2 linked regions of the Drosophila melanogaster genome follow. The protein of the gene in region 1 interacts with the protein of each later gene in a pairwise test. Each region holds a gene or a part of one and is shown in the gene's direction. Other genes may lie near its edges.

The links. The genes of interacting proteins can lie anywhere in the genome.
Region 2: the proteins of CG13014 (region 1) and CG14194 interact in a two-hybrid assay, tested with the Drosophila melanogaster proteins (one large-scale study listed by BioGRID).

What each region holds. Positions count from the first base shown.
Region 1 is NC_004354.4:16,585,997-16,589,490, forward strand, and holds CG13014 (uncharacterized protein), read left to right. Parts: upstream 1-1,876; 5' UTR 1,877-2,111; coding exon 2,112-2,810; 3' UTR 2,811-2,934; downstream 2,935-3,494. Other genes in the region: SMC3 (structural maintenance of chromosomes 3), read right to left, coding at 3,344-3,494.
Region 2 is NC_004354.4:19,191,876-19,196,538, forward strand, and holds CG14194 (uncharacterized protein), read left to right. Parts: upstream 1-1,679; 5' UTR 1,680-1,956; coding exon 1,957-1,994; intron 1,995-2,072; coding exon 2,073-2,143; intron 2,144-2,548; coding exon 2,549-3,123; intron 3,124-3,183; coding exon 3,184-3,576; 3' UTR 3,577-4,162; downstream 4,163-4,663. Other genes in the region: CG7914 (uncharacterized protein), read right to left, coding at 626-1,573.

The sequences.
Region 1 (3,494 bases):
TGCTACAGCATGAAAATTTCGTAGCTTTTGGTGTCCTGCCACTCACACACACTAGCACACAGACGCAGGACGAGGAGAGCCGTAATTTACGTGCGGCTCTCTTCGAGAAAATCTCTTGTTTGCACACACACACACACATAGGCACACACGAAAGTTTTCTTGTTGAATTTTACTGATATTTCCATTCCATCAGTTGCCTTTGGCAGCCTTTTTCGGTTATAATTATTCTTGTTTCACTTGTTCTTGCTGTTTTTTGCACACGAAAAAAATTTGTTTGTTGGGGATGTATGTACGTACAGCTTCAGCTGAAATTTCATCGCTTTTCATCACACACACCAAAGATGACTAATAAGAGAAAAAATGTTGCCTATGTATACATATATAATGTACACCCACACACACACATGTGCTGTGTGTATCATGTTATTTTACCCGTTGCACTCGCGTATTTTCGCTGTTGTTTTTCCTTCTTTTTTTTCGGGCCCAAAAATCGACAGGAAAATTAATTGAAACGGGCATGGGCGGACATTGACATTGCGCTTTTTTTTCCTCCTTTTTATTTCATATTTTGTATTTTTTTTGCCCGTTTAATGCAATTAATGTATGTATGCACACACAACAAAAAAAAACATTTCACGTCTTGGCCCGTTCTTATTGGAATATGTACACATACAGCTGTATGTATGCATATGTATATCGGTATATGTATATGCGCGCGTGTGGCTGGGCATGTGTGCGTGTGTTTGTTGGTGGTTTGAAACTGCTCCAAGCCTCCCATTTGCGTCTGTGTGCGTGCGTGTGTTGCACAATTGTATGGGGGCGGGGCGGTCGAGGATGTTGGGGGAGGGGTTCAGGGGGCAGGATGATGGAGGAGGATGAGAAGTAGAAAATAGCACGAGAAAAAAAACAGTGACTGCTTGCAATTTACCTTAACTTCGTTTTGCTTTTAGCTCGAAATTTTCACACTCGACGGTTTAAGCTTTTGTTTTTTCGCTATTCGCAATTCGTGTTAAACTTTTTACTTAATTTTTGTGTGTGTGTTGACGGAGCGCGTTCGAAATGCACACGGATATCTGATTTATACGGGAGATTAATAAAAAGTGCACGCGCGCAGCAGGGCAAATCGCAAATGTTGCACTCGATAACACGCTCGTTCGTTTTCCTTTCTTATAAGAAATCGATAGAGGCGTGATTTGTCTGGGCTTATCGAGGAGCGATTCCGATTGGACTGAATGCGGTGCGGTGTGACCGTTTCGCGGTGTATGGAAATATGAAAACTCTCAGTTGGATATAATATAATAGGGATGGAACAAAAAGCAACTAGCAGTTTTATTCAAATCGGATTGAAATTTTTAACAAATCAGTAATTTAAACCTAAAAACTTATAATATTGTAATTTAATTCGATGCAATAAAACACGACTTCTTAGGTTCGTAAATAATAAGAAAAAATGCACGGTTATATTGTTAACTGAAAATTACTTCCCTTTTCAAAAACCATAGCATACATTTTGCTGCATTGACATCAAAATAAGCCCATAAGAATATTTTTTCTTATTAGAAATTATACAATCTTAAAAACTTAAGTATTTTACTATATAATCCACTAGTATATAAAAATAACATCTGTATACGTTTTTGTCCACGTGAATGCTAGTTGATTAAATAAAAATGAAATGTTTGATCAACTATCTGTTGTAAACTTTTGTATTCTCCTTATGTAGAACTCGACCTATTACAAGTATGCTTTTACAAGAGGCATATTTATCCGGATGAACAGTCAAATTCAAAAAGGCATATTTCAAGGCTGTGTCCACACTTATACCGAATCCGTTATATTATCGAGGAATTTACGCTATCGATGAAAGAAACCACCTAAAAAATCCACGCTTATGTCGAAATACGATACTGATTTAATATTGACGTAAATCTTGTTATTGTTTTGATGCAACAAATATTTAATAAAGTTTAACTAAAGATCATTTATCCGCCGTTACATCGGCAACAAACTTGGTCGAGGAATCAAGTCGCCCGTCCGCAAACTGGACGGAAGATTTGCCACCTTGAGGTGGAATCACCGGCAACCGGCGTGATCGCTCTCAAGTCAAAACAATGGTGTCCAACAGAAGTCCTCCTCCGAATCATGGTCCCTTGCCGGGGTCCAGTGGTGGCACCTCCCTGCTAGCCCTGTGCCTGATCCACTTCGTCCTGGCCGTGATCTCCGGCTGGGGTCTGAAACGGAGCACCGGCAGCAAGGCGATGGCCGCCTTTGGGATCTACTTTGGCCACAGCCTGCTCTGCCTGCTGCGGCACACGCATCCCAATCCGGGCGCAGTGCAGCGTCTGCTGTGCGACAAGTCGAGACGTTACTCCTGCGTCCTATTTGTCACCCTGGTGGTGGGCGAGCTGCAGACCGTAAATCCGGCCACCCGAATGGGTGACTTCTTCGGCGCCGACTGGGAGCGTCTGGCCTTTGGACTGTGGAGCGCTGTACTGGCACTTGCAGTCACCAGCTTGTGGTTCGGCAACAGTCGCAGTCCACTGGGTGCCACATTCATAAAACTGGATGCCGCGCAATTGGGCCTCTGTGTTCTGTGGAATGTCCACTGTCTTTGGCGCATCGCCATCGTCGACGAGCACTGGTGGTCACTTGGCCTGGCCCTGCTTGTTCTGCTGAATCACTTTGTCCTGTGGCGACTGCCGCTGCACTACAACATCAGCCAATTGGAGGTGGCCACCGTGGGCATGTGCTTTAGCACCATCTTTGCGCTGAATGCCATCCAGGAGCAACTGGACGCTGTGGCCAGCTGAGAGTAGCTGGTCGGGCAACCAGGGACTGGAGCCTTGATTGCCAAGCTCTAAGACACCAACATTTAATTATAAGATGCACGTTGTTGAACAATTTTTTGAGTAATAAACCAGACTTCTTATTTCGAAACAATTATTGCATTGTTATCATACATACATAAAAGTGTGGAATTATATTGGATTAGACGGTTTCCTTTTGCATAAGCTTTTTAATACATATTTTCGTTTTAAATATAGTTTAAATTACTTCTCTATGCGCTTTATTACATATTGATCTGGGCTTGGAGTTTCTATACTCTCGGTTTTGTTCGCCGGCTCGAAGTGTTCCACGCAACGAGCACGGCCTAGCCGAAAACTAACTCTCATTGTTAAGGAAAATTAAATGTAGCAAGTATCGTTAGAAAGAAAACTATATATATATATATGTATACGATTTAAAAGAATGTGAAAACAAATCGTACGCCTACGAAACTAATAATTGGGGCGAGAGATGGTTGTGGTGGGTTGAGGGATGAGGTTTTGGGCGGGGCAATTTCCTAGGCGTGGGTGCTGTCGTCCTCGACGAAGTCCTTGGCCTCCTCCCTGGTCACACAATCAATGTGACTGACCTTATTTCGGAATCGCACGCCGTAGAACTTGTGCGCGTTCTCCAGCAATTCCGGCCGGAACGTTGTCGTAATGAACTGG
Region 2 (4,663 bases), 2.6 Mb from region 1:
GCCGCTTTAGGGCGTTAGACTGGGTGTGGCAAAAAAAAAATTGTAAATCGATAGAAATTTACACGACTAATAAAATTATTAAAAAATATCCAAAAAAAATTTCAAAAATGTGGGCGCGGCAGGTTTGGGCGGTTTTAGGGCGTTAGAGTGGGCGTGCCAAAGTTTTTTTTAAATCGATAGAAACTTACACGACTTATAAAATAATTTAAAAATATTTCAAAAATGTGGGCGTGGCAGTTTTGGGCGTTCGAGTGGACGTAGCAAAACGTTGTTTGCAAGTCGATAGAAATTAATGAAGACTAATCAAAATGTGAAAAAATATCAACACATTTATTAAAAGTGTGGTCGTGGCAGTTTTGTGCGGTTTGTGGGCGTTAGAGTGGGCGTGATAGCCTTCTAGCATTTATAGTACCTAAGATCTCGACGTTCATACGGACAGACGGACATGGCCAGAACAACTCGGCTATTGATCCAGATCTAGAATATATGTATATCTTCTGTCTGTTACATACTTTTCAACGAATCTAGGGTATAAAAAATATAAAACCCTCGGTATAACCAGTACGATCACAAATTCATTAACAATATTCAAATATTTATAAGCAACTACAGTTTTTCCCGGCATTTACAACATATAAATGTTTGCCGGATCTACGTCCAATGATTGTGTTGCTATTTGGGCGATGTTCTTTTGAAAACTTGAATCTCCAGCCACGATGAGGACACGCTGTCCGGGAATCGCGGGATTGAGGTGGGTGGCCAGTTCGGTGGCATCTAATCGGGACACCTTTGCCGTCTCCTTGTAGCGTAGATTGTCCCGGAGCTGAGGGCACTGCTGGGCACAGTGGCCCGCCTCCTGGCAAGCGGAGGAGTCACACTGCTGATGCGGCAGGTAGAGGCAGCTCCTGTAGTTCCAGAACTGGGCGAACTCGAGCATCTCCTCGCGGAAGTAGACATGCAGCAGGTCGTGAGCGCACACCAAATGCCACAGGCGACTCATATCCTCCTCGTTGTCCAGCACCTGCCGAACCAGCGGCAGAGTGGGTGCAATAGCAACTCCCTGGGCGATAATATAGATGCACTTGGCCGGCTGCGGTTCGTGTACGTATTGCCCGATGGGACCACGGAATTCCAGCAGATCGTCGGGCTGTACGGCTTGCAGGTGCCGAGACATTGGCCCCTCCGGCTGCAGCTTCACCAGGATACGGAACTCTTTGGCCACAAAGTCGCTCCAATAGGGCGAATACGGACGCAGCAGGGAGCCGACGCGCAGCATCACATGGTGGCCGGGCGGGATGTCAAGCACCGTGTCCACCGCTCCATCGCCGTCCCCCTCCTCTGCTGCATGAGCAAAGTGCAGGAGCAGCAACTGTCCATTGGGTCCCAGCGCTTCCCGCCGCAACAGGCGGAACTTCGTGTAGCTCAGGATCACGTTGCGTTTGCCAGCCAGCAGGACGCGTTTGCTTGGCCGTGGCTTGTTGTCGAGGATGCAGTTGGTGCAGCCATTGCCGCAGCAGTCTGAATCCCGCAGCTGGTCCTCGTTTTCCTTCAAATCTTCCAAATAAGATAACATTTTCCTGTGCCTATCGAGGCTATCGATAGCAGGCTAGCGTAGCCGGAAATCTGGCGAATTGTAGCCAGACATCTGGCTAGTCCTTAGTCAAGCCAATCGCCAGAGCAGGCAAGAGTTATCGATATCGAATCTCGGGACAGAAATGCCAGTCAAAAAAGTGTGTAAATAAAACAAAGAACAGAATATCTACAGGGAAAGGGGTGAAAGATCGGCGCCAGGCGTAGAGTACTAACTGCCCCCGCCCCCCCACTCCATCATAACACACAGCCTTGTTCGGGCGAAGATCGCTTCGTGGAGCGGACGCGGTGCGGCGGGTGCCCACGAGCAACTAGTGTCCAGGTACCAAGTGTCCAGTGACATAGCTCTATGGTGTCCTCAGCAACATGAATCTGGAATCTCTGTTCCGCGACTTCAATCCCTGGTGAGAAGCCTCCGACTGCGGACGACCGGATCACATGGGTTCCCAATCTAAAACATAATCGACCATGTTCCCTTTCAGCAAGTTCATCGTCCACTGCAGCCTGTTCATCTTTGTCACGCTCTTCGCCTTGCGCCTCGACAACTACATTGGTGGGTACTTTTCTGTGGCAGTTCTGGAATACACAACGTCACCCAGAATTAAAATAGCACGGGGATGCAAGAAAATACAATCATATAACAATACAAGCATATACGACCCATACACAAATATGTGTACGGTGCACCATCGCTTCTTCTAGAGAATAGTCCAGATTTATTGTATACAAGGGTTAGCAAGCAGATCATGAGATTGGATATAGCAATATCGAAGAAATCGTCTGACCATAGAGGATCATCCAAATTTGGTCACTTAACGAGGATATTAGTTCTCTCGCTATTTTAAATAACTTATCTAAGCTAAATATTTAGATTTTTAATTACTGAACAAGATTTATTGTAGGGCATTAACCTTATAATTGGCCTAGTAGCCTAGTCTAATCGAATGCCTTATCCCAGATTGGCCCTACTGGGCGATTTTCACACCGCTATGGATATGGAAATGCACCGCCATCCTGGGCGCAATCGTAGGAGCCATTGTGTGGTGTCGGTATCCGCATTATCGTCTCGAGGGCGATGCCTACACGCAGTTCAAAGCGATGCTCATCTCACTGGCCCTGCACCTGATCCTGCTGATGTTTGAGCTGCTGGCCTGCGATAAGCTGACCTCGGACCGTCACTTGTGGGTGCTGGTCTTCATTCCGCTGATCTTCGGCTCGGTGGTTAGTGTGGGCGCCTGTGTCTGGGCCGTCAAGCACGATCGCTCCTTCGAGCTGGAGCTCTTCCTGGCGGTCAACGCGCTTCAGTTTGTTTCACTGCCGCTAAAGCTGGATCGCTTTGTCTACTGGAACTGGGACGTAGTGTTTGTGCCCATGTGGATCGTCATATGCCTGAGCCTGGTCAGCGTATTGTATAACATCATCTTCTGTGGCATCATGATGCGTACGCCGGAGGTCTCGCTGCAGCAGAAGAAGGCGGCATTAAACGCAGCGGTGGGCAACATCTGCACGGTGCTCCCACTGCTCTGCTTTCAGGTGAGACCTCATCTAGTCCCTCCAAAAGATTGTGCATCGCTAACCCATCTATTCCGCCAGGTGGTCATCTGCGACAAGCTGGACGGCGAGCTTAAGTTCCCGTACATCGTGGTCTTCTCACCGCTGCTCGTCTCTATTCTGGCGCTAATAGTTCTTAGCTCCTCGGCAAAGGGCGGCAACATGTGGTGGTTCGGCATCCGCAAGTCTTTCAGCCAGTTCCTGTTGTCCGCGATGCCGTTCCTGCAGGAGTACGGCAACATCAGCTATCACCCGGAAACCCACAGCAATGCTGCACAGTCCATGCCGCTGGACGCAGCGTCCTCCTCGACGAGCATGGCGGCCAGCGAGCAGCTGCACGAGTTCCACAAGCACGACAAGAAGAGCAAGAAGGGGGCCAAGAATGACATTCTCAAGCCGGTGGTTCCGTTCGTCAGCATCGATCTGCCGGACTAGATATAGACGGCCAGTACAGCACAGGAGCAGTACAGGAGCAACAGTAAAACAGCAACATTTACAATAAATCGCAAGAACCGCGTAGACTTAAGGACAGCCTCTTTGCACGCGCACAAGGAGACGCCGCACACCTTTGTTCAGGTGTTTATGTTAGGCATTGTTAAGCATACCCATACCCACTTACACACTCACGTCTCCGTCGTAGCTTTTAGACTTGTACTGAATTTTAATTGTAAGACAAACGCTAACACCGCCCACGAACCATGTCCAACCAACCAACCAACCAACCAAGCACATCGCACCCACCATGCTCCCTTCCACGCATCCGCCTGCATATGATAGCACATATAGCACATACATGCATACAGGACCTGACCACCACACGCTTTTGTCCAGACCCGAATCGGACTCCAACTTGACCACAAATTGAACAGCGCCGCATTCGGAATTTTGACTCGTGTGCTAGTATTATATGTAAAACATCTCTCACACCTTGAGAAGCCCACTTATGTGTAATGACCTACTATAAAGTGTAAATAATTAACAGAGTACGTGAAAACGAGAAATATACTTAAGTGCTTCCATCAAAATGAAAAGACGATGATGAAATGGTTCGAAATTCGTGTGAGTTGTATTTATCTTTATTCAATTAGGAAGCTACAAAGTTTACATATGTATTTCATAGTTAAGTTTTGCATTTCATTTTTAATTAATTCTCTTACGTTGTGTCGCCTAAAAAGTTATGCAAAGGTAAAAAGTTGCATTTTAAAAAGTGACCATCCATTTGCCGGACAAAATAATTGAAGATTAGCCGGTGAGCGGTATATATAAAGCGCATATATATATATATATATGAATATATGAATATAGTCTGCAACCGGATCGGATGCGACTGGAAGTACATATTCTTGGGGGTGTGGGAAAGAGAGAGTGAGGCACATAATCGGAAATGGGGAATCGAAATGGAGCGGGACAGAGTTATACATTAGTATAGATATAGTTAAAGTGGGCTAAACGCAGGCCGTGTAAGCATTAACAATAATTCAAATACAATATATATCTGATCGATCGCGAGGTGCAACTGGCA